Linked DNA regions of Elephas maximus indicus. The protein of the gene in region 1 interacts with the protein of each later gene in a biochemical or structural test. Links are inferred from orthologs where the notes say so. Each region holds a gene or a part of one and is shown in the gene's direction. Other genes may lie near its edges.

Region 1 (7,981 bases):
CTTGGAAATAGTTATAAAGCGAACAAGTTAAAAAATTGATTATAGAAACAGTGCCAGGTACGCTATAGCAAAAATAAAAAATATAAAACAGGCAAAAAATGTGAAAGAAAAAAAATACATTCCCACCATCTAGAGATTGCTTGTGTTAATGTCTTATTGTATATCCTTTTTATCTACATATGTCTAGTTGGCTTAAAAATGTCCTTTTTGTCTGGTTTGTTGCAAAACAATATTCATACCAGTATCGTACCTTGTGCCACCTGGGTGCAGGGACCTTTAAGTCTTTTTAGACATTGGACTCTCCCAACCCATCTTTTGAAATACTGACTTATTGAAGAGACAGAGCCTTATCCTATAGACCATATGGTGCCTTTCGAATCTGCCCAGTTTACTTCTTAATAATATCATTTAGATTGTTCTTCCACATATATTTCCTGTAAGTTAGATTTCATATATAAAGGTTTGGTGGATCTAGGTTCAAGATACTTGGCTATCGTAGATGATGTGTCTTTTATTTTGGATCACATTGGAAGTTACATAATCTGTACTTGACTCACTTGGTGATGCTGAGATTGACTACTGAAATTGGGTGATGATAGTCTTTTCTGCCTACTGTTCAGTTGTGTTTGTCTCCTTATGTTCGAAAGTGTTTTGTGTGATGCTATTTGGCTTAATAAGAAAGGTCAGTTCCTCATCAACTACTCACCTACTGGCTTAGTGTTATTTGTTAATCCTTGCCTACATCAGTAATTACATTAGTGATTGCAAAATGTGATTTTTCTAGTTCTGTCCTTCCTTTTACATTTATTAACTGGTGCTCTTCTGTATAGTAGAGCTTTACCTTATGAAGTAGAGCTGTTTGGTTACTCTGAAATATAGTTCCTCCATGAAAAGCAGGATAAATAATCTTCCCCTTGACCAGTTTTCAGAGTAAAGAGTTATTCCAGTAGCTACTCAAAATGTAATAAATGAAAAGGGTTTCTTCTCGTTTTGATTTGTATTTTTAACTGTTTTGAGTATCATTATAGATTCTGGGATTTTCATTTTATTATGGGTTTTTAAATTTACTATCATTTCATCTTTTTCTTTGTTGCTTAAATTGTCGTAATTTTAGGCATTGGGAGCTCTTTCTAGCCTTGGTGACACAGTGGTTAAGTGCTTGGCTGCTAACCGAAAGGTTGGTGATTCAAACCCACTGGCCCCTCTGTAGGGGAAAGATGTGGCAGTCTGCTTCCGTAAAAATTAAAGCCTTGGAGACCGTATGTGACAGTTCTGTCCTACAGGGTCTCTGTAACTCAACAGCAAAGGGTTTGGTTTTTAATGGAAGCTCCTTCATGCCAGCTCCTGTGTCCTTTTGGCAAAGATCATTAATCTCTGTGAGCCTTCCTTGCTCTTTGGCACAGAAAGTTATCCCAGGCTCACTTTGTACCTTGCCTGAGTCAGACCTGGGATCAGCTATTTCTCCAAGCAGATGAAACTTTGAATTCTAGGAGTGCTTATTGCTGCTAGGCTGACCTTGCTCATAGGCCATTTCTCTGAAAAGACCTAGAACATATAGAATTTTACAAACATGAGTTCATATTGATATTTTTAATTCATGTTATCTATTTAACACTAAAAATCCTGAATCTTAAAATCATTCACCAGTTAAAAGAACCATTTGCCGTCAAGTCAATTCCAGCTCATGGTGACCCCATGTGGAACTGTGTTCCATAGGGTTTTGGTTCTTCCATTTTTTAAAAATTGTGGTGAAAATATACGTAACAATACATACACCAACTCAACAATTTCTACGTGTACAATTCAGTGACACTGATTACATTCTTCAAGTTGTGCAACCATTCTCGCTATTCTTTTCCAAATCGTTCCACCACTAGTAACATAAACTCAGTGTCCCCTAAGCAGAAACTCCCCCCTTCCCTTTCACTTCTGGTAACCACTAGTAAACGTTGGCTTCTATGTATATGCTTATTTCATGTAAGTGAGATGGCACAGTATTTGTCCTTTTGCAACTGATTTATTTCGTTGAGCATGTTTTTGAGGTTCAGCCATGTTTGATATGCATCAGGACTTTATTTCTCTTTACTCCTGAGCTGAGTAATACTCCTTTGTATATATGTACCACATTTTGTTTTCTGTTTGTCTGTTGATGGACAGTTTGGTTGTTTCCATCTTTTGGCTCCTGTGGAAAGTGCTGTAGTGAACATGGTATACAAGTTTCCATATTGTTTTCAGTGCTGATTTTTTTGGAAGTAGAGTGCTAGGCCTTTCTTCTGAGATAGCTCCGGGTGGACTTGAACCCCTAGCCTTTTGGTTAGCACCGATCTTGTTAACTGTTTGTACCACTTGGGGACTCCAGTAAGCACACAGTAATCTTACAGAGAGTCCCTGGGTGGTTCAAAAGGTGAACACGTTTGACTGCTAACAAAAAGATTGGAAGTGACTCATCTCAGAAGAAAGGCCTGGCAGTCTAAAAAAATCAGCTTTTGAAAACCCTATGGGGCATAGTTTTACTCTGACACACTGTGGGGTTGCCGTGAGTCAGAATTGACTCAACGGTAACTGGTTAATCTTACAAATAGAACTCATAAAGCACATACAGCCTTTTCTTAAATTGTAATATAAAAATCATTGTCATTTGGTAATTATTTTTTGGATTGAGATTAATGTTGAAATCAAGTCAATGTGAAGAAAGCGGCAAGTAAAAGAAAAAAGCTTAAGGAAGGCCACTAGATTAGGTGATTTTGAATTATATACAATGAATAGGTCCAGGAGTAGGAATGGTCTTTAAGGGAAGTTTTACGCAAATTAGGTTGAATGGAGTGAAAGGTCTGTGTTGGAAAATTGAGATTACAGAGGATTGATGGAGCTCAAGAAAAAAAGTGGTGTGAAGGACAAAATGTGTAGAACTTGTTTTTTTTTTTTTTTTACAGCTGGATATTTGAGTGTCTTTTTTTTTTTTAATTTTTATTGTGGTGAAATATGTATGCCAAAACATTTGCCATTTCAGTCATTTTTACATGTGCAATTCAGTGACATTAATTGCATTCACCATGTTGTAGAACAATCACCACTATCCATTTCCAATTTTTTAAAATCACCCTTGACAAAAATCTGTACCCCTTAAGCAATCCACCCCCAGCCCCCCAGCACCACCCCATTATTCCCTCTTAGCTGTCTCTGGTAATCACGAATTAACTTTGTTCTCTGTGCATTTGCATCTTCTGGATATTTCATACAAGTGGGATCATACGATATTTGTCCTTTTATGTCTGACTTAGCATTATGTTTTCAAGGTCCATCTATGTCATAGCATGTATCAGAACTTCATTTCTCTTTATGACTGAATAAGATTCTGTTGTATGTGTATACCACATGTATTGATGGACACTTGGGTTGTTGCCAGCTTTTGGCTACTGTGAATAATACTGCAATTAACATTGATGTATAAGTACTGTTTGCATTTTTGCTTTCAATTCTTTTGGGCATATACCTAAGAGTGGAATTGGTGGGTCATAAAGTAGTTCTGTATGTAATTTATTGAGGTACTGCCAAACTGTTTTCCACAGTAGCTACACCATTTTACAACCCCGTCGGCAATGAATGAGGCTTCCAACTTCTCCACATCCTCACCAACACAGCATTTCACAACCGCATCGACAATGAATGAGGCTTCCAATTTCTCCACATCCTCACCAGCACTTGTTATTTTCTGTTTTTTGATAATAGTCATGCTAGCCATCCTAGTGGCAGTGAAGTGGTATCTCATTGTGGTTTTGATTTGTGTTTTCCTGATGACTAATGCGTTGAGCATTTATTCATGTGCTTACTGGCCATTTGTATATTTTCTTTGGTGATCTAAAGGTTTGTTTTATGTCATCTATAGTGTGTAAGCTATGAGTTGGAATCGACTCGACAGCACTGGGTGGGTATAGTGTGTAAAATAAGTGAATATAACGGGCATGCTAAGTGTTGATTAGGGAGCCCTTGTGGTGCAGTAGTTAAGAACTTGACTGCTAACCAAGCAGTTGGCAGTTCGAATCCACCAGTAGCTCCTTGGAAATCCTATGGTGCAGTTCTACTCTGTTCTATAGGGTTGCTATGATTCGAATTGACTCGACGGCAATGATTTTGTTTTTAAAGTATTGGTTACATTGACTACCTCAGTTTAGTGTCATCAAGTCATAGACACTAAGGGCTTGAAGAGACTTTAGTGGATGTCTTTTTCAGTCTTCCCATTATGTGTTGTTAGATGCTCTTGGGTTGATTTTTGACTCATAGTGACTCTGTGTCACAGAGTAGAACTGCCTCATAGAGTTTTCTAGGCTGTAATTTTTATGGGATCGGATCACCAGGTCTTTCTCCTGCAGAGTTCCTGGGTGGGTTTGAATTGCCAACCTTCTGGTTAGCAACCATTGTGCCTCAGGGCTGCTTACATAGGTGAAGTTGAGTCCCAGAAAGGTTAAATGACTTGTCCAAATGACACAACTAGTTACAGACATAGTCAACTCTTATATCTCACCCCCTGACTCTCATTTTATCTACTTTTCTCTACATTGTGATGCCTTTTTTAACCATGAAAAATTAAAAAAAAGAAGTTGTAAAATTAAGTGTTTTTAGGCATATGCAGATTTTTTTTGTTTTTGACTCAATATATTAGTTCTGTGATTTACAAAGTCTAAGGTTTTTGGTATGTATGCCTAAATACTGTAAATATGAAGTTACATTTTACCTTAGATGCACTTTTAATGTACTAAGTACAGGACTTTGAAATTATTTTGCCAAGTAATTTATTTTCAACTTTTTTTTTTCATTTATGTATTTATCAATATTTCTTAATTACACATGCTGGTTTGTAAATAAATACATTTGATGACTTTATATTAATGTAGCTATGGTATGGAAAGCTTGCTTTTTTATAACTACTGTTTTAAAATATGCATTTTGCGTTTGTGCATATTTCAGATATTTCCTTAACTCAGATACTCAGATATTTATCCAAACATTATTGCTATGGGGTTTCCTGCAGAAAGACTTGAAGGTGTATACAGGAACAACATTGATGATGTAGTAAGGTAAGAACTCTTGATTTTCTTTTTCAAATATTGATGTATTTATTACATTTATGTTGTATTTTCATTTAGAAAAGATTTCTAATGCACATAAGAAGATACGCTTTGTGGTGTGAACTTTATTGTGGTGCTGTGTAGCTCTTTTTTTTTTTTTTTTTTGCTTAATGTGTCAGTGGACCTCGATGGGATAACCATTTAATAAGAATTGACCTTACACCAGTCAGGCATTATACACAACGTGGTATTTCATAGACTGTAAAATGCCTCTTCCCAGGTTAACTAATGCCTGGATTTCATTACAATATGATTTTCGCCTTTCACATTTGGAGATTAGGCTTAAAATCTTTGCGTGGGTTTATGCATGTAAATTAAGGTGTAAATCATTGATAGCATGTGTTTTTAGGTGGAGCAGATTTTAAAGGGGTCTGAGTGCTCTAAGGAAACCCTGGTGGTGTGGTGGTTAAGAGCTGTGGCTGCTAACCAAAAGGTCAACAGTTTGAATTCCCCTGGCGCTCCTTGGAAACCCTATGGGGCCATTCTGCTATGTCCTATAGGGTTGCTGTGAGTTGGGATTCACTCGAGGGCAATATTTTTTTTTTTTCCCCCAAAGTGCTCTAAAAGGAATTCTGGTGGCACAGTGGTTAAATGCTCGGCTACTAAATGAAAGGTTGGCCGTTGAAACCCATTAGCTGCTCTGTAGGAGGAAGATGTCCAGTGTACTTCCATAAAGATTTACAGCCTTGGAAACCCTATATGGGGCAATTCTACTCTGTCCTATTGGGTCGCTATGAGTCAGAATTCAACTTGAAGGCAGTGGATTTGGTTTTGTTTTTTTAAAGTGGTCCAAGCATCTGAAGAAGTATATGGTACAAGGGCTATAGAAAGGAATTGCTGGATGCACCAAAACCTAACTTCGCCAGTTTTATATAACTTTACATAATTTTTTGAGTAATTATCATTCAGTTCAGAACAATGTGTTTCACAAGGCCCATTTAAATACTTTCCTTAATACATTTGTGACCCAGGAATACATGTTGTCTTTTATGAGAGAAGGAATATATGTCTGCTTTGTAAAGTCTTAATTTTCTAATTTTAGAGAAAAGATTTTTGAATAAATTATCTGTAAATTGTGAGTGGAAACTTTGATGACTTGAAAAGTTAACATTTTGGATTATTTCCTTTATCCTTTTTCATAAGTATCTTTCCTGGAAACTTTGAATTTAAGTATTGTTCTGGTTATGAGAATTAAATGTTATGGGTGAGAATGCACTTTGTGATTTATAAAGCACTATGTGGATATAGAATCTTTTTATAATAGTTGTGTGAGTTTATGAGTCTACCTAGGCCCTTATCCAAGCCCCCATAAAGTTGTTTTTTCTAAGTGGTTAGTTTTAAACAATAGTATGTTTACATTTTTGCCGTATTGGTATTGACTTGTGTTTAATTGGATTTTGTAGTTTTTATATTGTGTACAAAGATCTTATTTGTAATTTCTGTTAAAATTATAGGTGACACATAGGGGTGTCAGAGGTAGTACTCAAGATCTTGAAGATACAGAAATAAATCTGCCTTCTCATTAGGCAGGACCCAGTGGAAGAATGCTAAACATCCCAGCACATGGGAGCAGGAACTTGATACAATTTAGTCAGTGATAGTAACAACAGCTAAAGAAAATGTAACAAAACAAAAAAGAATCAGAGAGGTAAATGTTGAATGGAGAAAGATGGAGAATCTAGAAGAGGAGCAGTACAATCACCAGCCAAGTATCCTCTGCTGCAGGCGTGTTTATCAGGCCCAGATATGTCCTGGATAAAATATCTCACAAAATGAGCTACTTCAGATTACTCTGATTCTGTATGAAACCAGCTACTCATTCAGCCAACACAGGCTAGTACTCATACTGAAAAAGGGTGTGAGCGCTCTGAATAAAGGACAGGTGTTCTGATCACTGTAAAGATATATCCTTGTGGTAAATTAATTTGGTGTGCTAGTTTTTACATTAGCCTCTTTTGAATATGAATTAGTCTCTTCTGACTGTGAATTAGTCACTTAGGCTAATTGATCATCTTTTGGGTTACTGATAAAGTCCAGTTTCTGAGCCTGTACAAACTGGTTATCAGACCTTAGATTGTAATAACTTCACCAAGAAAATGCTATGCTGGGAATCATTTTGGTCTCAAATCTTCTCATTTTATAACCTGCCATATGCTTCTGAATTAAAAGATTCATACATTCAGTTTGTAATCAGTAACCAAGGATGAAATTTATCATAAGTAGTTTATTCTATCAAGCTGTATTACTTTTTCAAAACTGCTATTCCTAAAAAAATTATATGTGTCTGGACTGTTATTTAACTAATGGCTACTTTAGCCAACTGGTCTTCGCACCCTTTATGGTAAGGTTAATAGTGTATCAAAATGAAGAATTGTCAGCTGAATATAATGGCTATTGTCTGTCCTTGTTTTTTTCCCCCCATCCCGATTGAGAGGTAAGTGGCAAATAAGGCTTTGGGGGCTTTTATTGCCTTCTTCCCCCTGTTTTATGAGAGGGTGGATGAATATGACTGAAAAGGAAGATAAATTTTTTTCCTATAAACTAAAATGAAAATAAATAATTCCCAAGTAATTTGCGTGTTAGGATTAACCTCTCCAAGGGAGCTGCTGTCTCCAGAACCTTGATTTATTCACTTGATACTGGGCATAGTAGTAATATTCAGTAGTGACTCCGTTTTTGGTTCAAAGGGTAGTGTTATGTAACATCTCAATGAAAAAATGTTTCTTTTCTTACACCTTTTCTTTTCTGTTAACAAGGCTATTTTCTGTTGGATTTTATCTTACCCTCTCTACTGGCTTATCCAAAGAATGTTAAAATTATTTTTACCTTTCTTCTCTAATTCCATATTTTTCCTG
Region 2 (7,010 bases), on another chromosome or scaffold:
GACACTGGAAAGAGGTGGAGTGGTGATTGAAGATACCGGGGAGAATAGAGACAATGGGGGCAAGTCTGGGATGGGAGCAGAGGTGGTCTTAGGAAAAGCGAGAGAAACACTTCCTCTTGTGTGCAAATCACTGGGTTGGGGATTCAGTGTAGATCAGGTTACATGCAGAGAGGATGGAAAGTAGACTTAAAGAATTCCCAGGTGCCAGAGTAGAAAAGGCTGTAGTGATGGCGGAGAGACACTCCATTGCACATGGCACGGACCTTTAAGCCTGGGTCAGAAGCGACTTCTCCCTACTTTCCCACCATTTGGGCCCAGATTGTTTAGTGACAAAAGCGTAACAGCCTCTGTGATTTTTTTTTCCCCCCTCCAGCATCATCCGCTCTTTTTTCTGGCCCTGGGAAACCTGAAGTAGTTAATTATAGCCAAAAATCGAAACAAAACCGTTGCTGTTGAGTCGATTCTGACCAAGCGGCCTCTTAGATCAGGGTTCCCAAGGAGCGGCTGGTGGCTTTGAACCGCCAGCCTTTTGGTTAGTAGCCAAATTTCTAACCACTTGGCCACCAGGGCTACTTGTATTAAGCTGCTATCAATTACCAGAGGCACTGTCCGTTCAGGAGACATGACAATTAAGCTGTAATCTAACGCTTTCCAGCAGAGGGGGTATAGCTCAGGGGTAGAGCATTTGACTGCAGATCAAGAGGTCCCCGGTTCAAATCCGGGTGCCCCCTAAAGCTTCAAGTTTTATAAAAGACTACGTATCTTATCTACCCTCAAAGTGAGCCCTGGCAGTGCAGCAGTTGAGCGCTCGGCTGCCAGGTGACAGGTCCGTGGTTTCGGTAAAGATTTACAGCCTGGGCAACGCAATGGGGGCAGTTTTAGTCTGTTTTATAGGGTCGCTATGAGTTGAAATTTGATTTGGTTTGGGGGTTTGGTTTGCTTTTGGTTAGTCATCCTCAAATGAACAAAATGGAAGACAATGGAAGATATTGAGTGAACGCAGTTTAAGGCAGAACCAACTAGAAATTCTGGGAACAGAGAAAAGTTAGCGCTGCTTACCCCGCTGACAATTTTACAACCAAAAAAACCCCCAAAAGATCCTCCAATCCAGGAAACAAACTTCTCCATCGCCCAGGTGTATACAACTGAGCAAGTATTCTGTTTCAAACACTCTGGGAATACAGAAAGGAATAAAAATGCCTTATCCTCCTGAGCTTCACCTTCTAACATCAGATCAACATACAACCAAATAAATTACTGTACAGTGTGGTATCTCTAACATTTCATTCATCCTCTAAATCACTGGTATCTCAAGTGTGGTCTGAGAACCCTCAGGTATCTCGAGACTATTTTAGTGAGTCTTCCAGGAAAAAGGAGCTATTTTCATAATAATACTCACCCATTATTTGCCTGTTTCATTCTTTCATGAGTATACAGTGGTACTTCTACGTGAAGGGTGATATTGCAACAAATTAACTGTAGAAACAGATATGAAAATCCAGCTGTTTTTCATTAAGCCAGACGTTAAAGGGATTCCTCGAATATATAAAGCAATGCCACTCTTCTCACTAAATTATTTTTGTTTAGAAAAATATTATTTTCACTCAAAAATGTTATTTAGATTAACAGGATTATTGTTATCTTCAATTAATAAATAAACGTTTAAGCATTCCTCAATTTTAAACTCTAATTCAGTAAATGTCGATAGATAGAACCCATATAAACCAAAATTCTTTGCGGCCCTCAATAATTTAAGAGTGTTAAGTGTTTTTAAGGTCAAAATATTTGAGAACCGCTGATCTAAGAGGTGGTTCTGGGGGAGAGAATGCTGGGTTTGTGAGATGGCAAAGGGAAGAGGTGACATTTGAGCAAAGTGTTGAAAAACTCATAGTGGGTAAAGCAGAAAAGAGCACGCACAGATACAAGGAGGTGTGAAGCAGAAGAATGTGTCCAGAAATCCTAGGCAGTTGGGGGTTGCTAGAGTATGAAGTGTGAGAGGCAGAATGGAAGATGAGGCTGGAGAGACAGACAGACCAGTTCCTGAACAGACTCCAGTGCTATGCTAAGGAGCTTGGACTTTTTTCCCCAAGCACTGGAGGGCCAGCACAGGGTTTTAAGCCAGGGGAGGTTATGGTCAGACCTTTCAGAGGCAGTTGCGATAGTTCACATGAGAGCCTGAACCGAGGGCAGATTGGGAGTCATGGACAGAAAAATTCAGGAAGTAGAGTCAAGTAAACACCCGTGGAGACTAGCTCTGGGAGCCTAGGGGGAGAAAACGAGAAGAGGACAACCAGTCATGTCCTAGGTTTCTGAACAGTAGTGGTAGCACCAACCAAGAAAGCTAATACAGGCAAAAGAGCAAATTTTGGGAGAAAATGATTCTTCCTGTTTTGGTCATGGTACGTCTGAAGTGCCTGAGCAGTGGAGATGTCCCAATCAACAATTGAAAATATGTGTCTAGAGCTAAGCAGAGATGTCTGGGCTGGAGAGGAAGACTGGAACATTTTTAACACCAAAAAAAACCATAATCCCAAATAAAAGTGAAAACTTCTTAGAAGGATGCCGATGTATGGAGACCATTGAGGTAGACCTCTCCATTTATTAAGCAATCATTCAACATAAATTTATTGAGCGAGGCCAGGCCCTACGCTAAGAACTGGGGAAAGGCTGTTGACCAAAAAAGACGTGGATCCTGCCCTTATGGAGCTTATAAACTTAGTGGGGGAGTCATTAAATAAATAATCACCGAATACATATTTAAGAATTGTAATAGATGATATGAAGAAAAAATATAGGGTACTAAGAGCTTGGAAACCCTGATGGTGAAGCGGTTAAGAGCTACGGCGGTTAACCAAAAGATCGGCAGTTTGAATTTATCAGGCGCCCTTTGGAAATTGTATGGGACAGTTCTCTGTCCTACAGGGTCACTATGAGTTGGAATCAACTCGACAGCAACAGGTTTTTTTTTTTGTTGTTGTTGTTTTTAAGAGAGCTTATAACAGGGGAACCTGAGCTAGTATAAGGATCAGGGCAGGTTTTCTAAAAAAAGTGACATTTAAACTGAGATTTCAAAAATGAGAGGATGTGAAATAGGTGATAGGGGTAGGCAGGGTAGTGTATCGAGGTAAAATTATATATATGTCTTCCTTTGCTTTTTTTTTTTTTGCCCATTTTTGAATTGGGTTGTCTTTTTGTTGTTGAGTTATGAAAGTTCTTTATATATTCTGGACACTAGACCTTTATCAGTATATGATTTGCATATTTTTCCACCATTTTATTTTTTAGGTTTGTCTTTTCTTTTTGATAATGTGCTTTGATGTACAAGTTTTTAATTTTGGTGAAGTCTACTTTTTGTTTCTGCTGTTATTGTGTTATCTAAGAATCCATTGCCAAATCCAAGGTCATAAAGATTGACCCTTATGTTTTCTTCTAACAGTTTTATGATTTTAGCTTATATTTAGATCTTTGGTCCATTTTTTGAGTTCATGCAATGTATTTTCATTTTTATTCTAGAAGCAATAGAAACAGAATTTTAAGAAAGCAATATGGTAATAGTTACATTTTTGAAAAATTATTCCTGGCCACTGTATGAAGAATGAATGGAGCTGGAGCGCTACAATGGCACTTCTCAATTTTAACACTTTCTAATGAAACTGCTTAAAGTTCTCCCCCTCCTACGCCCTAATTCACAGCACATATAGCCTTTTAATCACTCTAGTGTCTGGAGAAGTGCCTGACGTATATAAAGTTCGCAAAAGAGTTGTTGGATAAATTAAGAATGTTTCTACGTTCCCAACTACTTTCGAACTCGTAGAGTTGATCTCTACCAGGTCTCAACAGCTTCCGCAGCTCTTAAAACCTGCACCCCCTACTTCCCAGGGAGGCTTAGTCGCAGGTCCAGGACTTATTACGTAATAAGGCAGCGCCCTGGGGAAAGAGGCGGGCCTAACAAGCTCCGGTTCACGTGACAGGAGAGTGGGTGGGACCTTAAAGTTCATATCCCAGTGTCCTTTGTATCTACTTCCTTTCTGTCTTTTTCCGGCGTCCAAGATGTCGAAGCGAGGTGAGGATTCGTCTTTTCCCAATCTTCCGCCATCTGTCGCACAGTGACTGCTGGCGTCGCCAGTAATGACGGCCCTGGGCAGCTGGGGCACTCCGCTCTCCTCGGGCCGGAGAGAGAGGCGGGGCCCCGCGAGAGCGCTGGGGAGGGCCCCCGAAAGTGGCTCGGGGGCAGGGGAGGGCGTTGTGGAGCGTTGACCTAAGTAGGATCCCGACCTGATTCTAGACCAAACCTAGCGCGATGGTCACGACGCTCGTAGCGCTGAAGTAATGAGGCTAAAGTTCGACGATCGTGATTCCCAGATGGGGCGACCTGTGGAGTCTCCCGTCTTACTGAAGGGACTGTGTGGTGCAAAGGTTGGAGCAAAGATTCAGTTGTCCAGGCCCTCTAAAATTGATTAAAAGTGTTAGTGAGGAATCGATTATTTGCCATGAGAACAGGTGGCACATGGGGAGGGGGCTAGAGAGAGCCAACCTATAGTGTACTTGCGCGGGCGAACCTAAAACGGGAGAGTGTGAGCCTAAGTCTGAACCGTGTCTTCTCAGTTATCTTTCTCCTGGTTCCTTTCCCTTCCTATTCACAGGACGTGGTGGGTCCTCCGGTGCAAAATTCCGGATTTCGTTGGGTCTTCCGGTAGGAGCTGTGATCAACTGTGCTGATAACACAGGTGAGAGCTTAAGCACGCCTTGTTGCACTCCCCCTTTTAAAAGCACTCATTGGGGCTTTTGCCAGTGACCCACTGAGCCGTCAAGAAAGGGCAGAATAAAAACACTGCTTTTGGGTGAAGCGGCAATATCTTGTGTTGTTTTGCTTCAATCGGTGGTGTGACAAGGTGTTCCACCTTGGGGACTAACTGCTGTGTGAACGGGTGGAGAGGCTTTGAACTGGGTGTTAGGAAAATGTTACATAGGCCCTGAAAAAATGGGATTTTTGTTTACATTCTTTTATAGGAGCCAAAAATCTGTATATCATCTCTGTGAAGGGGATCAAGGGGCGACTGAACAGGCTTCCTGCTGCTGGTGTGGGTGACATGGTGATGGCTACCGTCAAGAAAGGGAAACCAGAACTCAGAAAGAAGGGTAAGTAAAGAGACAGAATCGTTCTCATCTCCTGGTAGACAATTGAAGTACTACTCCCTTTATTGGGAAATGAAACAATATAGTTCTTAAGACCTTTTAACAATTTGATTTCCTTTGAAGAGAAGCTTAGTAGACTTAATTGATCCCCTCCTATACTTTTACAAACAAAAGCCCTGTCTCTTGGGATTCCCACTCCAGACCTGTACTTCCAGCCTCAGATCCTTTGTACTTGCCGTGCCTCCTACCTGGAATACTGTAATCCAGTGATTTTTCACTGTTAAATCTATAGCTCACTTTGGTATTGACATCTCCCTCACCAACCCACAAAAAACTGTTTGGTAATTACTATGGTATTTTATGATATTTGTCCCTAAACAGTTATACTTAAAGTTCCGTGAGAACAGATGACTAGTTTATTCTTTGGTTATAAACATTGCTTAACACATGGTGGGTATTTTAAAAAATATGTAAAAAAAAAAAAAACCCTAAGCGAGACCCACTGCCGTCAAGTCCATTCCGACTCATACTGACCCTATAGGATGGAGTAGAACTGCCCCATAGGGTTTCCAAGGAGTGCCTGGTGGATTTGAACTGCAGACCTTTTGGTTAGCAGCCATAGCTCTTAAACACTAGGCCAGCAGGGTTTCCAATATGTATGCATACAGTAAATACGTGTCCATATTTTTGATTGGTAGAAGATTTAGAACTAAATGGGTGGAATCACAGCTTTGAGACTTATGTCACCGTAAGTGATTTTCTGGAATTAACTAATTTTAAAAAGGATAGTGATTCTTTCTCCAGTGGTTGTGAGAGTCACGTGGTGAACTGCCAAGCATGTAGAGCATCTGGCCTGTTACCTAGCATTTTTAAGTCCAGAGTAACATGCTATTCTCCTTGCTGTAACACAGGTTTTACTTATAGGTGAAATCAAGATCGTGGCTTGAAAATTTGGCATGATGTGTTTCAAATCTCTTCTGATAGAAACTAAAACAATGAGCTGTTCATTGCCTTATCATGGGCTACGATCCAGAACAGCTTTTCTTGCCAGATAGGTAAATTTAAAAAAGGGGGAGGCATGGGAGCACTTCTGACTTGTGATGTCCTATCTGGCTTTAGAGTTTTAGATGTTTAGTGTTCTTTAACTTACCAGCTCCTGAACTTTTCTGCCTGGCACAGTCTGTCTCTGCCCTGGAATATCTTGCCCTTACAGAGAAGTCCTAACCATCCCTGACATACAGGACAAGTGTGACTGTATTGTAGTTACTCCTGTATACCTGTATTCTACCACTAGACCGTTAGCTTCTTGTTCAGAAATCTTAGTTCATTCACCTTTAGTATTCTCTTGAGGGTTTGGCAGGCAAGGAGTAAGTAGCATTGGAAGAGTCAGTGTGTTGAGTTAGAATCAGGATGCAACTGGACAGGCTTTCCGCTTTTCAGAACACTTGCTGGGCCTGATTGGTGGCCTGGATAGCCGTCAGGGAAGACGACCAGTGCTTTATGGGTCAGATGGCAGCAGGATGTGCTGTTGGTCTCAATCGGTGGGACAGGCCAGAAAACACATAACAGTCTTAAAAAATACTTGTGCATTTCCAATCTGTTAATGTCTTTTTTGGTTTTTGTTTTTATAAAATAAATCACATTACCTTGGTGTTAAGTAGAACAGTCACAGAGATGTGGAAAGGGCAGGACTGGAAGTCCAGAGACCTGGGGTTTTGGCCTTTTTTATCTACTTAGGGCCTTTGGTTAGTTTGTGAGAATTAAAAGGGCTATAAGTAGAAAAGAATCCAACAGAAGAGGTTCTTGGTAAATATTAGTTTGCTCCCACACAGTGTGTATCCCATGATTAAAAACTTGATCAGTCCATTAACAGA
Region 3 (6,991 bases), on another chromosome or scaffold:
TCTCCTTTAACTCCAGTCACACAAAATATGAAAAATCTCCTCCTCCAAGCAAATTCACAGCCTTCTAAAGTCACATTGTTTTCAACTTCCTTTGTTCCTACCCCTTCACCCCCGACCTTGTACGCAGGCTATTTTTCTGTAGTAGGTTCCCATGGAGTAGCTCCTTCCTTCTTCCTTGCTCCGTAACATTGGTCACAAACATTTTCACAGGTGGCTGGCTCCCCCATCTCTGCAACACTGAGCCTACCCCATTAATATCTCACCTAGTGGCTATGCCACAGTTCATGCCACCATATTCACATACTGGACATTCGTGTCTATCCCACTCTTTGACTACAATATTTGTGACAGGTGTGGCTGGACTTTTTTTTTCTTAAATAATGTTTTATTATGTTTTAAGTGAAAGACTACACAGCAAACGAGGTTCCCCTTTAACAATTTTTATACTTATTGTTCTGTGTGGTTACAATTTTCACAAAGTGTCAGCAACCTCATTATCTCCCTTCTGTTTGTTCTGTTTCCATTGATCTAGCTTCTCTTCCCCTCCTTGCCTTCTCATCTTTGCTTTTTGGTAAATGTTGACCATTTGGTCTCATAGGGTTAATTGTTTAAGGCAGCACATTACTCATGGGTGATATTCTTTATTTAATAAGCCAATGTATTATTTGGCTGAAAGGTGCCCAGCAAAAATTGATTCAGTTTCAAGTTCAAAGGGTATCTTAGGGTGATAGTCTCAGGGGTTCCTCTCATCACTATAGATTCAGTAAGTCTGGCCTTTTTTGGGAATTTGAATTTTGTTCTACATTTTTCCCCCATTCTATCAGGCACCTTCTATTGTGTCCCTGGTCGGAATGGTCTGTAGTGGTAGTTGGGCACTATCTAGTTCTTCTGGTCTCAGGCTAGAAGAGGCCGTGGTTCATGTGGGCTGGACATCTTTTTATTGTTGTTGAGAATATATACAGCAGAACATAAACCAATTCAACAATTTCTCCATGTACAATTCAGTGACTGATCACATTTTTCAAGGTGTATAACCATTCTCAGCCTCCTTTTCTGAATTGTTCCTCCCCATTAACAAACTCACTGCCCCCTGAGTTTCCTATCTTTCAAATTACTGTTGTCAATTTGATTCTATGTAGACAGTTCTTAAAAGAGCAAAATGCTGAAGGCAGATATTCTTTACTAAATAAGCTGAACTAATGTTTGGTTTAAAGAATATTTCAGGGGATATTTTTGGTTTAAGGTTTAAAGATCTCAGGGCAATAATGTCAGGGGTTCATCCAGCCTCCATGACTCCAGAAAGTCTGGATTCCATGAGAATGTGAAATCTGTCCTGCATTTCCTCCCTTTTGTTCAGGATTCTTCTATAGAATCTTTGATCAAAATGTTCAGTAACGGTATGGTGGGCATCTTTTAGACTTTCTACATTTGGAGAAATTCCTTGCAATCAGCCCTGCCTCTCCAATATCAAAGACTACATCTCAGCCTCCTCTGATACAAGAACCTTGACATATGATCTAGGCTTCTTCTATCAGACATATCCATGTGAGACTTTGAATTTGCCTGGCTTTGGGGGCAGAGGGATGATCACTTTGATGATGCAAACATGGCTTCAGTGTTTCCAGCAATAGCTGCTGCAGACAAGTCTAAGTCCTGGCACTTCGTGTTTGGTGGCAGTGACAGCAGCAGCAGTTTTCTTATTTGTCAGTCCTATGGCTTGGGAGTATCTCTCTAGTCCTCCCCACAAATCTGTAAGCTGCCCAATACTCTCTAATAAATCCCTCCCCTGCTTAAACCAGTCAATGTAAATTATCTGTAAATCAAGATTCCTGACTGATCGATTTACTATTACAGAATATGCTACACTCAACAGCGCCACAAAAGTTTTTCTTCCTTTGGACCCTCTTCTTAGCACTGTTTCTCAAACCTCAGTCATTTACGTATCACTGAACCACTTGTGTAGAAATTGTTGAATGGGAGCCTAAAGTGCTAGGTGAACCTTCACTGAAAACTCAATATTTAAAAAAATCAATCAGTAAATACACTTATGATAGAAATAACATACATAGACAATGACAGAAAACATAGCAGAGGTTGCCTGAGGGCTGGTGTGGGGGTGAGAAATCGGGGGCTGAGAGAGGGATTACAGTGCATCATGAGGAAATGTTTGGGGGAGAGTGATAGACATGTTCATTATTTTGATTGTTGTGATGGTTTTGTGGCTCAAAAACACGTCAAAACGTACCAAATTGGACAATATGTGCCATTTACTGTAAGTTACACTTCATTAAAGTTGCTAAAAAGTAATAAATAAATACAGTACCACTAGCATAGAAACCATTAGTTCATATGTCACCCAAAAAAACTCCCACCCCCACCAGTGGCTGATAGTATTTCAGGATAAATTCCCAGGAGCGGAGTGACTGAGGGGCACAGAAAAGACAAAGAAAACATTTCCATACTTATACCAGCCCTTTTTAGGCAGAAATGATGGGTTGGAGGGCCAGAAAGACGCAAGTTCCTCACTTTATCTGAGCAATCTGTAAAATAATACATAATTTAATGTATTAAATAATAGTACAGTGCAGTGCTTAAGAGCACATGTTTTTAGGGCTTTTGAGGTTTGGGGGGGTTAATCTTCATCTCCCTGATTCTCAGTTTTCTCACCTGTAAAATGGGGAAAATAACAGATCTGACCACACATCAGGTAACACTGGGAACACTGATTGTGAATCAATATAGAACATTTGCACAACGTTTGATACATAAAAAGCTCTAGTTCAGACTCCTTTCCCAAACTCCTTTCAGCTGAAGGAGGAGGGCAAGGTGTTTGTTACACCCTGTGCCCAGACTCCACTGAATCATAATCTCCAAGGGAGCAATCAGGGAATCGATTTGAAACAAGTGCTGTCTATTGAGTCGTAGGTTCGGGTAAGTTTTGGAAACGTTAATCAGGATCAGGGTTGCTACGAGTCAGAATAGACTCGACAGCAGTGGGTTTGGTTTTTTGGTTTTATTATTTCAGGCTGATGTCGGATGCTGCGATGAGATGATGGATGTGAGAGCTAAAGGTTATTTACTACTCTTTCAGTCAGTCAGTCAGTCAACAGACATTTATTGAGCACTCACTATGTGCCCTGCCCTATGTTGGGTGCTAGGGACACTTCCAGGAACAAGATTCAGGCTGGTCCCTCATCCTCGATGTTATCTGTAAAATGAGGTGGGGGCGGGGGTGGGGGAGGAGAGAGACAAGGGAATTTCCCCCTGGGCCGCAGAAGGGGCTACAGGAGTAGACGACAGAGCCTTGTCTTAGGACTCCGACCCTATGAGGTCAGCCAGTACAGAACCGGGGGTGCGGTGGGGACAGATATTTGAGGGGCAGGGACTGTTCCAGCTGGAAGTCCCAAGACCCCATCCCTGACTTCAGCGTAGCTCATTTCCTCTCAGGTCCAGATGTCAGAATCTCCCTATTAAATGGATACTATTATTCCCATTTTACAGATAAGAAAACAAAGGCTCAGCGGAGAGATGGGTCACACTGGAGCCCCTGCCCCGAAAGGCGTCCAGGACCTGGTCCTACCTCCATTGCGGCTCGAAGGCCGCGAGAACCGCGCAGTGGGTCGGAATCCAGGGGATCCGGGACCTCTCTGCGCCGGGCCCGGGACTTTCTTGAGTAGTCCGCACCCAGGCCGCCTCTACACCCTCTGGACCCGGCGCGGACCTACCTGACTTCCACCCTAAACCCTCCGCCTTGGAAAATGCAAGGCCCACCGGTGCCACCTGAGAAAAGAACATAGCCCGTCAGGCGGCTAGACCCGATCGCATCGCGGAAACCTCCACCCTTCCCCTCCCGGAGACACCTGCACTTTTCCCGACGTCCTCTGCCTTGTGTCCGGAAGTCGGCGGAGAAAGCAGTGGAAACTGGTGGCTAGAGGCGCCCGGACTCGCCTTCTCGGCCCTCACTTCCGCCGGAAGTGACTTCAGCAGTAAGTGTCCTTTGGCTGTTGCACGCGCGGGTTGCCGCTACGCGGTACGCGGGGCGCCTGCACCACCATAATGGCGGCCACGACCCTGCTGCGCGCGACGCCCCGCTTCTGCGGTGAGGGGGCAGGGAGGGCGGTGGCAGCCTGGGGACCCGTAGGGTGCTCCGGGGGTGGCCGGGCTCGAATCCGCGTCCTGACTCCAAGCCTCTGTCCCGCAGGTCTCGGCGCCGGCCCGACTTCACTACTGCAGGGCCTGTTGTGGCCGCCAAAGGCCCCGGCACTGCCCCTCTTGTGTCGAGGCTTGGCAGTGGAGGCCAAGAAGGTCTATGTCCGCGATAGGCCCCATGTGAACGTGGGTACCATCGGCCATGTGGACCACGGCAAGACCACGCTGACAGCGGCCATCACCAAGAGTGAGCGGGCATGGGCTGGGGGCGTCCGGTAGTGCCCGATCTAGAGACAGGACCTGGAGCCAGGAAACTGGGCCCCTGAGCGGCTGCTGGACGTGTTTCGTGTGGCCTTGGGAACCAGAACTCGGGCAGGCGGTAGAGTGGAAGATGCAGATTTCCCTTTAACCTGAAGAACTTTTTGATGCATGAATTGGGGGACCCTGAACTGCCTCCCCCTGGAGAATTCGCAGGGCTGGACCTTGAGGACTGTAATAGCCCTTTCTGATGCAAAGTTAGCTCTGCTGGAGAAATCGGAGATTGGAGGGAGAGGGATTACAGAATTTTTATCCTCCCAGACTCATTCGTTTAGGTGGGAGGGGCTCAGGGGTGTGGCCTGAGCCCTGCCCGTAGCCTTGGAAGTTTAGCTGAGAGGTGTGTCTCTTCCCTCCAGTTCTAGAGGAGGGCGGCGGGGCCAAGTTTAAGAAGTATGAAGAGATTGACAATGCTCCGGAAGAGCGAGCTCGGGGTATCACAATCAACGCAGCCCATGTGGAGTATAGCACTGCCGCCCGCCACTATGCCCACACAGACTGCCCAGGCCACGCAGATTACATTAAGGTGAGAGAGTTACTGAGGACCTCTGGGGAGAGGACCAGGAGCTGCCTTCTGTCAGGATAAATGGTGGGCATAAGGAGAGAAGGTTATGATACTGAGATGTAGGTATTTGAGACTATGGATTTGTGGCCATGATGACTCAAAGTTGGGGGGTGAGGAGATGGAAGGGAAATGTGAGCCTCAGTTCTCAATTGCTGTGCTTGGTCAGATGGATATGGAGCCGAGGAGGCCACTGAACTTGGCTGAGTGTTTCCTCTCCTCCCCCAACCCAGAATATGATCACAGGCGCCGCTCCCCTCGATGGCTGTATCCTGGTGGTGGCAGCCGATGACGGCCCCATGCCCCAGACCCGAGAGCACTTATTACTGGCCAAACAGGTACTCAAGAGCTCAGGTGGGGTGCAAAGGGGAAGAGTGGCCGTTGGGCCACTCTGGACACCATCCCTTGTTATCTTTCTCCATCTACAGATCGGGGTAGAGTACATTGTGGTGTATGTGAACAAGGCAGATGCTGTCCAGGACTCTGAGACGGTGGAGCTAGTTGAGCTGGAAATCCGGGAACTGCTCACTGAGTTTGGCTACAAAGGGGAGGAGGCCCCAGTTATTGTAGGCTCTGCTCTCTGTGCCCTTGAGGTGAGGATAGGGACAGTAGGGGGCTGCTGGCAGAGGATGAGGCTGGATGGGCAGGCAGAGCTCTGCTCTGAGTCCAGAGAGTGATGCTTGGTAAGAGGAGCAGAGTGGATTTTTAAGAGTCCTGTCAATTCCCTTCACAGCAACGTGACCCTGAGCTAGGCCTAAAGTCAGTGCAGAAGTTGCTGGATGCTGTGGACACTTACATCCCAGTGCCCATTCGAGACCTGGAGAAGCCTTTCCTCATGCCTGTAGAATCTATTTACTCTGTCCCTGGTGAGGACCAGACCATGCTTGTTTGTACCCTCTACCCCAGCAATAGCTTAGCCGAGCGTCCCTGATGTCCTTTCCGGCTCCTTTTCAGGCCGGGGCACGGTGGTAACAGGTACGCTGGAGCGTGGCATTTTGAAAAAGGGAGACGAGTGTGAGTTCCTGGGACATAACAAGAACATTCGCACTGTGGTGACAGGTATAGGAAGCCTTGGGACCCAGGAGCTGACCTTTCACCTTGTGAATTCCTCGTGCTTTCTCCTCTAACCCAGGTACTCCTCCTTGTCCCTTTTGCCTCCTTTCTTCTTTTCTAGGCATTGAGATGTTCCACAAGAGCCTGGAAAGGGCAGAGGCAGGCGATAATCTTGGAGCCCTGCTCCGAGGCTTGAAGCGTGAGGACCTGAGGCGTGGCCTGGTCATGGCTAAGCCAGGTTCCATCCAGCCCCACCAGAAGGTGGAGGCCCAGGTGAGGGCTCCAGCTGATGGTGGGCAGGGCTAAGCCACACTGTCCCCTGCATGGAAGCAGTGCTTCTAGTCAAGTCCAGCTGCACCTTCATTGCTCTCCTACAGGTTTACATCCTCAGCAAGGAGGAGGGTGGCCGCCACAAGCCTTTTGTATCCCACTTCATGCCTGTCATGTTCTCCCTGACTTGGGACATGGCCTGTCGTGTCATCTTGCCCCCAGGGAAGGTATGTGGGTATAGGGAAGTGTGAAGGAGTGACACCAGCTCTGCCTCATTCATAGTTCAAAAGATACAATGTGACAACTAGGGTGACTTGATTGCTGTGGATCAGCCAGAGGCTGACTGTTGATATAGGTGAAAGTAGATGGGAGGGTCTAGACTAGTGGATCTAGAGGAACTGAGTCCTCACCCAGTGTGCCCTAGGCTGAAGTAGGTTAAAAGCTAGCTATACCAGCATTTATCTCCAGAAAGATTTCCTAGGAAAGAACCCTCTTGTTATTTAAGTTTCACAGTATATGAGGGCTCAGAGAAGTCCTGCAACTAAGAAACCTGTATAACCCAAAATTTCCTAGACTTTTTTTTCCAAGAATATACCTTGGAAACACTGGTATCATTTGTCCCATTCATTCTTTTTGTCTTTG
Region 4 (7,831 bases), on another chromosome or scaffold:
CGCCAGGCCTTTCTTCCATGGGGGGTTCGAACTGCCAACCTTTAGGTTAGAAGTTGAGAGCAAGCCACCATTTGCGTCACTCAGGGAACTTTCAATGTTGGCTAGTCTCTGTAATGATGGAATGCCATTCATTCCTCTCCGTGTGGGGAAACAGAAGCCTAGGGCAGGGGGACAGTTCATTCTCCGGTACACAGCCCACTTAGGGAGCAAAGGGAACAGTGTGTCCTCATCAGAAGGAACACCACATCTGACTCATTGTTCCCAGGAGACACAGAGGCCACAGAAAGAAAGAAAGGCCACACGGTGAGTCTGTAGTAAAGCACGGACAGGGACCCGAAGTTCCAGCTCCCTGTGGGGATGCCAATCCTGCAGCCTCTTAGATGGGTAGGGAGGCTGGGCATAGTCAACACCAACAACATTAGCCCCTGCTTCACCTTCCACCCCTTTAGCCCACCCTCCAAAATTCTGCAGTGGCCCCGCCAACCACTAGGCTGAAAGTCAGACTTCTCTCTGGGGCCCACAAAGCCTTAACGCCCGACCTGAATTCTCACCAGAGTTATACCCCGCCATAAGCCCTCTCATGCTCCAGCCATTCTTTTGTTTCTGTTCATACACACCAAGCTCCTTCCAGCCTTCCTGCTTTGGCACATGCTGTTCCCTCTGCCTTGAACACTGTTCCCCCTCACACCTCACACCACTAGCACTGCATCGTGCGTGGCCTCTCAGGTCTCAGTTGAAATGTGTCTTCCCCAGAGAAGCCTGACTCTACCTAAACAAGGATCTCTATCCACTTAACCCATTATTCCTTACATCTCGTTGATCACAATTCTCAGAATTTGATATTATGACTTCATTTGCGGTTTCCTTGGTGTTTGCTGGTGAGCTCGATGAGGGCAGGGCTCATAGTAGGTGCTCAACTAATTTCTGTTGCATGGCTAGACAGTTGGAGGAACAGGGCTGCCTGGTAGTCAGAGGCCCCATCCTAAACTTGCTGTGTGTCCTCAAGCAGGTTCTGACCCTCTCTGGATGTTAGGACCCAGTGCGTCCAGTGGGTTCTACTGTTCTTATAATCCTTGAGCCATTTGTGTGCACCAAAAGGCCACACTCCAGTTCCCTATGGTCACTGGGCACTGAGAAGAGGACAGAGGTGGGTGAGAGGTGGGAAAGCAGTTCCCTCCCTGTGCCTCTTCTGGCCCCCTGACTGTAGATACAAGCATCTACCTGGACGAGGGGTGAATTGGTGAAAAGGTAGTGAGGTGAGGGTCAGAAGTCCTGCATTCCAGGCCTCTGTTTCTCCACTAATCTCAGACAAGTCCCCTCCACTCTTAGGGCCTCAGTTTCCATGCTTGTACAATAGACACATTCTTAGGGCCCCTCTGGCCCTGACATCCAAAATGATTGCTTCGATGCCTGGGATGTGTGTGCTGCTTCCTCACCTCCTGATGGGGGAGCCTGGGGAGGGGCCAACAGCTGGGAGCGTGGGAGAGCCAGATGTGGTGGCCGCTGGCCCTGCCTGAGTGAGTGCTGAGCTGGCCTACTGGGAATTCTCCCACTCAGGCTCCCTTTCCGGGCACCCCCCTCCTTCTCCCTCCACCCCACTGAGCACTACGGCTTCCGGCTCAAACAAGCGTGGGTGAGGGTCTTAGGAGAGGAGTCAGTTGAGCCTGGTTCCCTCCTTTAGGGAAGATCAGGGGGCCGAGAGTCTAGACAAAAGCCTTGCTTCCAGTCCCAGTGCTGCCGGGGACACACCGGAAAGCCTTGCCCAAGTAGCTTTCCATCCTTGGGCCTCAGTCACCTGGGCTGTAAAATGAGCGGGTTGGAGAGCTTCCTCCAGCCCTGACTGTGGACTTGTGAGACAGCAGCTCCTGGTGACCCCTGACAACTAGTGGTCTCGGGTGGAGCTTTCTTACTCTGCTCTGCTCCCTGCACAAAACACCTTCTGTGAACCATTTTTTCAGGCTTCTCAACCACCCCTTGAAGTGGGCACATTTATCCCTTTTTACAGTTGAAGAAACTGAGGCTCAGAGAGCTCAGATAATATACTTTGTCCAGGGTCACACAGCTAGGAAGTGGCAAAGCTGGCTTGAAACTGCCAACCCCAGAGCCCAGGCTCTTAACCCTTGAGCAGTACCACTAGTTCTTTGGGGAGGTGGTAGTGAACCCGAAGGCCCAGAGCTCTTCTCTCCCTCTGCACCCCCTTCCAGTCCACCTCAGGCAGGGCTCTCCAAGGTCCATGTTCTGCCCACCCACTTTGAGCCCAGGATGGCCCGAGGCCATGAGCAGGGGAGGACTGGGCGCCCAGCATTTGGACGGGTGGGAGAATGCTCGTGACATGCTGTTCATGGTGAACACCTCAGCATGTCAGTGTTGCGTTGCCCACATGACACCCACCCAGCCCCTCAGAGTGCACAAGGAGAAACTGAGGCCCAAAGGAGGAAGGGCTCTGCCCAGAGCACACAGTGATGGGACGCAGCTTGAATGAGGGGAACTCACTATTTCGATTACATTCTAGGCACTGTACTAAGCCCTTTACATACATTACAAATTCACAATAATTTCACGAGTTAGCCCTCTTATTATCCATCCCCATTCTCCAAAAGAGGAAACAAATGTACAGGAGTTTAAGTGACTTGTCCAAAGTCATGCAACTTAGAAGTGGAGAACCTGGGATTTGAACGCAGCTCTGCCTTTTTTTCTGCCTCTGGCTCTAGAACTTTCCCTGTCAATCTCCACCCTTTTGTCCCAACTGTCCAGCCCTCAGTGAGTGCCCTGTGGTGCTCTCTGTGGCTCAGTACCCACCCCTATCTCAGCTGAGAGGAGCCATGACAGCCTGGTGCCCACCAAGGGTTAATGGTGGTAGGGGCTAAGTGCTTCCAGATGGGCCAGCCGGATGGCTGCGCTGGCCGGAAACTGGCTGCCGCCAGTGTCCCTGGGGAGCCACCACCAGCCGCCCCCTCCCCTCTGTACTGCATCGCTGGCCCCCAGCTGTCCCCCTGCCCTGGGGCCCCCCAGCCTCCTCTATTTAGCCAGGGTCCAGCTCTAAGGGGAACTGCAGACAGACCATCCTAAGGGCCTTCCAGCACAGTGAGTCCACCCTTGTTAGGTACAGATCGAGAAACTGAGGCTCAGGGAGGCCAAGGGACCTAACCAAGGTCACTCAATAGGTCTGAGACTAGGTATCCTGATTCCAGACCAGCTTTTCTGGGAAGAAGGGAGTCGAAAAGCTCCATTGCTCCATTGCTCCCTCTGAGCTCTCCTGGCCCCAGCAGTTGGGCCAAATTTTCAGAGGCGCATGGCCAGCAAATGCTAGGAGTGGAGCTGTAAATTCCTGGTGAAGTCTTTGGGCACAAGCAGTCCCTATGATGCCTGACCCTGTGGCCTCTGGGGTTCTCTCACATGAATCTGCTGCCACCAAGCCCTGCTCCAGGCTCTCTCTCTTGGGACATTTTCACAGTCCCCGTCATGTGCCTGGGCCAGTCTGTGGATCCTTCTTCCTCTATGCAGCCCAGCCCAGATGCCCAACTGGGGAATCCCTTTTGCAACAAGACCAAGAAATGGTTTCAAGATAGATTACTGCAGTTGGCCTGGAATTCCAGCTCAAGCAACTTCCCTGTCCATGAACAGTGATCTGGGGTGGGGGTGGGGAGGAGAAGGGGGTAGACAAAAGTACAGAGTACATAGTGGAAGTTGCTCTGGGCATAGGCAGGCTGTACCTGTGGACCTGGGACACATTTCTTCCTCTCTCTGGTCCTCAGGTCCCCCACGTGTATAGTAGTGGAGGCACAGGTTGGCTTAGCTTAACTCTAAGCCCTTTTCAAATAATGCCCCTTGGCATCGAAGGGCTAGGAGTCTGCCATCTTCTGAGCTGAGGAGGTAAATATGGAAGATGAGTGTGGGGGATGAAAAGCCCAATGTGGAGACCAGGAGCAGACCCTGGTGAGGAAGGAAGGCAGGAGAATGGAACATACCAGCTACTCAAAAATACTTGTTGAGTGACTGAATAAATAGAGACAAGGAAAGAGGTAACCTAGGAAGAAGGCAGGGCAGGAGGGCTGGTCTACACTGGAATATGGGTGTTGGGTCAGAGTCAGATGACCTGTGAAACTTTGATCATGTAACTTATGAAACCCAACTCTGCTCCAGCTCTGCCATTGCTGTGTGAGCTTGGGCAACTCATTTCTCTCCTCTGGGCCTCAGTTTCCTCACCTACAAAAGGGGCAAATAATCCTTCCCTGGTACCCCAGGGGCTCTGAGATGATAGAAAGAAACATGTCTGGAAATCTGGAGTGTGCTGGGTGACCTTGGGCAAACTGCTTTCCCTCTCTGTGCCAAGCCATGCCTGGGCCTTAGCTTCTCCTTCTGAAAGTAACAAATAACCCTGGAGAGTCTTTTCATCTCTTCTCTAATTTCCTCAATCATCAGTTAGGTGCCCTCTAAAATGCATCCCAGCTCCCTGTCCTCCCGTGGGGTACCTGTTTGCACATTGTCCGTCACTCCCACTAGTCTGAGCTTCCCTGAGGTCAGGGACTGTGTCTTACCACCGCACCCTGGAGCCTAGCACAGTGCCTAGCACATAGTCGATGCTCAGTAATGCTTGTTCAATGAATGAATGTTGACTGAATCAATCATAGAGATTATCAGAGCTCCCTTTACAGATGGGGAAACTGAGGCACAGAAGAGCCGCCCCCCCAGGTGCCATGGCAAGGAGAGGCCACTGGTGACAAACATCAAATGGGGACGGGCCACTTTTTAATAAAAGTGACTCAGCGACTGGCTGGCGTGGGCTTCGGAATTTCTAAACATCCCCTCACGTCCTGAGAGAGCGGGAGACGGGAGGGAGTAAGAAGAAGGAAAAGAGGAAGAAAAACAAGAAACTTGGGGAAAAGAAAGAGAGGGGGGAAAAAAGTGAAATTGAAAACAGACGCACGCGTCCACCCTCCCTGCTCTGCCGCCCCCCTTCTCCCAGCTAGGCCAATCAGAAGCCGTCTTGCGGCCTTTCCCCCAAAGTGGAGGGGGCGGTGGAAGCAGGGAAGCCCACGGTGGTGTGAGCTCCTGGGGCTGCCAGCCGCCCAGCAGTCCCTACCCGCCCTGTCTGGGATCCGGGATCGCTCCGTGAGCAGCTCAGAGAGGAGGAGGACGCCGAGGAAGAGGAAGCCTGGCCCCTCAGAGCAGCCGCGGAACTGAAGCCCGTGCCCTGCGACCCAGCCAGCCAGACCCAGGGCGGCCCCTCCTGGCAGCTTGACTCCTACGGAAGGATGCTTTGGGAGTGAGGCGAAGCTGGGCTGCTCTTTACCGCTGCAGCCCCCCACTCTCTTGTTCCCCGAGGCTCTGGTCTACAGCCACCCTTCTTGCCCCCCTACCCAGCCACTGGCAGTCTGGAGTCCAGCAAAGTCTCCAGATAACTGGGAGAGGGCAGTGAGGAGGACTTCCTGGAGGGGGTGGCAGCCCAGAGCCTGGGACTGTGCTAACATTAGAAGACACCGCAGCAAGGTAAGTGCCGGGAGAGGGAGGACCCTAGCCCCTTGCCCTGTCCCCTTGTCCCAGCCTGAGCCTCAAAAAAATGAAAACTATTTTTAACAAAACCATATGGGAGGAGGCCTGGAGGCGGAAGACAATGTCAGGGCTGGAGGAGCTGTTTTTCTCCTTTCCTCTGCTCAGGCCGCTTCTGGAGGGGGGTGGTCCCTGCCTTCCCAACTGTGCTGCCCTTCCCCAGTTAAACAAACCCCAGAGGTTTCTTGGTGCCAAGTGGGGGCCTTCAAAGCACAATGGTGTCTACAAGAGGTGGGGAGAGCTGGGAGGGGCGAGAAAGTGGAACTGGGGGATGGCATGTAGGGTACATGGAAAGGGGACCTAGCAGGGGACTAGGGACCTCAGGGCCACTGCCCCTGCCCCCAGGCCTAAGCCTTGGCTCTAGGCCAGTCAGCCACCAGGCAACCTCTGGGGATTTAAATGGATTTGCAAATTTTCCAGATTCCTAACATGTCCTTCCAAACCCCCAGTGACTGGGAAAGTTCGAGAATGAAGGGGACCGGGGACCGTGGCTGGGGGCAGGCTCAACCTAGCAGTCTTGCAGCTGGGGCTGAGGGTCTGGGACCAGGCTGTCAGATCTGGGGGCCTCCTGTAAAGAGGGGGTTAGCCAGCTGGACTCTTTCCTTGGGTCCCAAGTGACTGCTCGGGCCTCCTTGCTGTCTCCCCGTTTCAGGGCTTGGCTTCTTTTCCATTCCATTCTAAAATATAAATCTGGTGAGGCGACCTTCCTGCTCAAAATCTTTCTGTGGCTCCTCAGTACCTGTAGAAAACCCCGGCTTCTAACAACGGCTGCCACTGATTGACACTTACTGCACGCCAGGCACTGTGCTGAGTGCTTTATGAGAGTGATCTCATTTAACGGTAACCAGCAGACCCAGAAGCAGGGACTGCTTTTCCCTTCCCTTTACCCACAGGGAAACTGAGGCTCATGGTAGCCACATAACTACAGCCACACAGCTAGTAAGTGGCAGACCTTGGAAAGGTACTGACCCTCCACCCCCGTTACTGCAAACTTGGGCCTTTTGTTCCTTCAGTCAAATCTCAGACATCCCAGAAGGAATTTGCATGATCCTGCCTGTGAGCCTTTGCCTTCCCCATTCTCCTGCCTGAAATGTCTTTCCTTATCACCTCCACTTTTCCTTCAAGGATCCTCCCTAGTCCTGCCTCCTCCAGGCAGCCTTCCTGGGCCCTTCCAGTCCTCAGAGCTTGCTCCCTCCTCTGAGCTCCCAGGCCACTGCTGCGCACTACATGCTGGGACCTTGTTGCTTGGCCTTCTCTTCCTGTTTGTGTTCTGTCCATCCACATGACAGAGAGTGTTCAGGCCCCAGGCCTCCTCATCTATGTTCTGTCCCCACTGCCCAGCCCTGGGCAGGCAGTAGGGTTGAGAAAATGTGCTGGTGAAAAGGAGGAGAAACTGGCCAGAACTCAAGCCTCCTGCTTTCCTTCACATGCCCTTCCAGGCCATCAAGGGCTCCTCTAGATCACATTTCCCTATTTCAAATGGGGGTGGGGGGTGGGGGTGTGGGGGAGTCCCTGCCTACTTCTGTGATCCCTGAGCACACAGGTCTCCAGTGAGAACTGCAGAGGTCAGGCAGGCCTCTCCTGCCTCCAATAGGAGCACCCTGACCCATAGCATTCATGGATGTGACCACTGCACTGATCACCATCATAGAGCCTTTGCCCCATGCCGGGCACAGAGGCTGGTACCTCACACACTTTGTAATACTCAGCGGCTCTTTGACATCAGTATTGGGAGTACTCCTATTTTACAGATGAGGAAACTGAGGCTTAGAGGGGCTAAAGTGACTTGCCCAGGGTCACACAGCTAGTAGAGTTGGTATTTGAGCCATAGTCTGCCCGAATACAAAGTCTTAACCCCCACCCTACCAGGGAGCCGCTGGTCAGAAGGGGGAGAGTTCCCATTCTCTCCAAGGGCTGGACCCTGGCGTCAGCATCTTCCCCCACAGAAAGTTTAACCTCAGGCCTGATTGGCTTCAAGGTCTGCCCAGGCCCTGGCTTGGTCTTGAATGGGGAAGGGGACCATCTGTTTGGCATCCTCCTTTCAGAACAGTGGTTACTGCTTGAACATGGTTATCAGGCAGCCTCCCTCCTCTGGGGGTGGCAGCTGTTTCTGTGGGAAGAAGAGTTGGGACTTGTAATTGCCCACAGATGTGGGACAATGGAAAGCACCGTGGATTCAGCATCACGAGATCCGGTACTGGTCCTGGCTCCACTCCACTCACATTCGCTGTGTGGCCAGCCTCAACCTCTGTGCCCTCTCTGGGCTGCTCCCTCATCTGAG

The links.
Region 2: the proteins of PTEN (region 1) and RPL23 form a complex in vitro, tested with the Homo sapiens proteins (2 studies listed by BioGRID). The link is inferred for Elephas maximus indicus from reciprocal best matches to the Homo sapiens genes PTEN and RPL23.
Region 3: the proteins of PTEN (region 1) and TUFM form a complex in vitro, tested with the Homo sapiens proteins (2 studies listed by BioGRID). The link is inferred for Elephas maximus indicus from reciprocal best matches to the Homo sapiens genes PTEN and TUFM.
Region 4: the proteins of PTEN (region 1) and PDGFRB form a complex in vitro, tested with the Homo sapiens proteins (2 studies listed by BioGRID and IntAct, with this or other methods). The link is inferred for Elephas maximus indicus from reciprocal best matches to the Homo sapiens genes PTEN and PDGFRB.

What each region holds. Positions count from the first base shown.
Region 1 is NC_064834.1:38,515,045-38,523,025, forward strand, and holds the start of PTEN (phosphatidylinositol 3,4,5-trisphosphate 3-phosphatase and dual-specificity protein phosphatase PTEN), read left to right. Parts: upstream 1-4,971; 5' UTR 4,972-4,990; coding exon of another isoform or gene 4,991-5,013; coding exon 5,014-5,075; intron 5,076-7,981. UniProt on the Homo sapiens protein: Dual-specificity protein phosphatase, dephosphorylating tyrosine-, serine- and threonine-phosphorylated proteins.
Region 2 is NC_064837.1:46,393,718-46,400,727, reverse strand, and holds the start of RPL23 (60S ribosomal protein L23), read left to right. Parts: upstream 1-3,991; 5' UTR 3,992-4,050; coding exon 4,051-4,063; intron 4,064-4,643; coding exon 4,644-4,727; intron 4,728-4,757; exon of another isoform or gene 4,758-4,893; intron 4,894-5,010; coding exon 5,011-5,139; intron 5,140-7,010.
Region 3 is NC_064830.1:88,835,890-88,842,880, forward strand, and holds the start of TUFM (elongation factor Tu, mitochondrial), read left to right. Parts: upstream 1-3,984; 5' UTR 3,985-4,056; coding exon 4,057-4,099; intron 4,100-4,201; coding exon 4,202-4,396; intron 4,397-4,823; coding exon 4,824-4,990; intron 4,991-5,259; coding exon 5,260-5,364; intron 5,365-5,454; coding exon 5,455-5,619; intron 5,620-5,759; coding exon 5,760-5,892; intron 5,893-5,980; coding exon 5,981-6,085; intron 6,086-6,200; coding exon 6,201-6,352; intron 6,353-6,456; coding exon 6,457-6,576; intron 6,577-6,991. UniProt on the Homo sapiens protein: GTP hydrolase that promotes the GTP-dependent binding of aminoacyl-tRNA to the A-site of ribosomes during protein biosynthesis. Also plays a role in the regulation of autophagy and innate immunity.
Region 4 is NC_064820.1:165,347,747-165,355,577, reverse strand, and holds the start of PDGFRB (platelet-derived growth factor receptor beta), read left to right. Parts: upstream 1-4,826; 5' UTR 4,827-5,490; intron 5,491-7,831. UniProt on the Homo sapiens protein: Tyrosine-protein kinase that acts as a cell-surface receptor for homodimeric PDGFB and PDGFD and for heterodimers formed by PDGFA and PDGFB, and plays an essential role in the regulation of embryonic development, cell proliferation, survival, differentiation, chemotaxis and migration.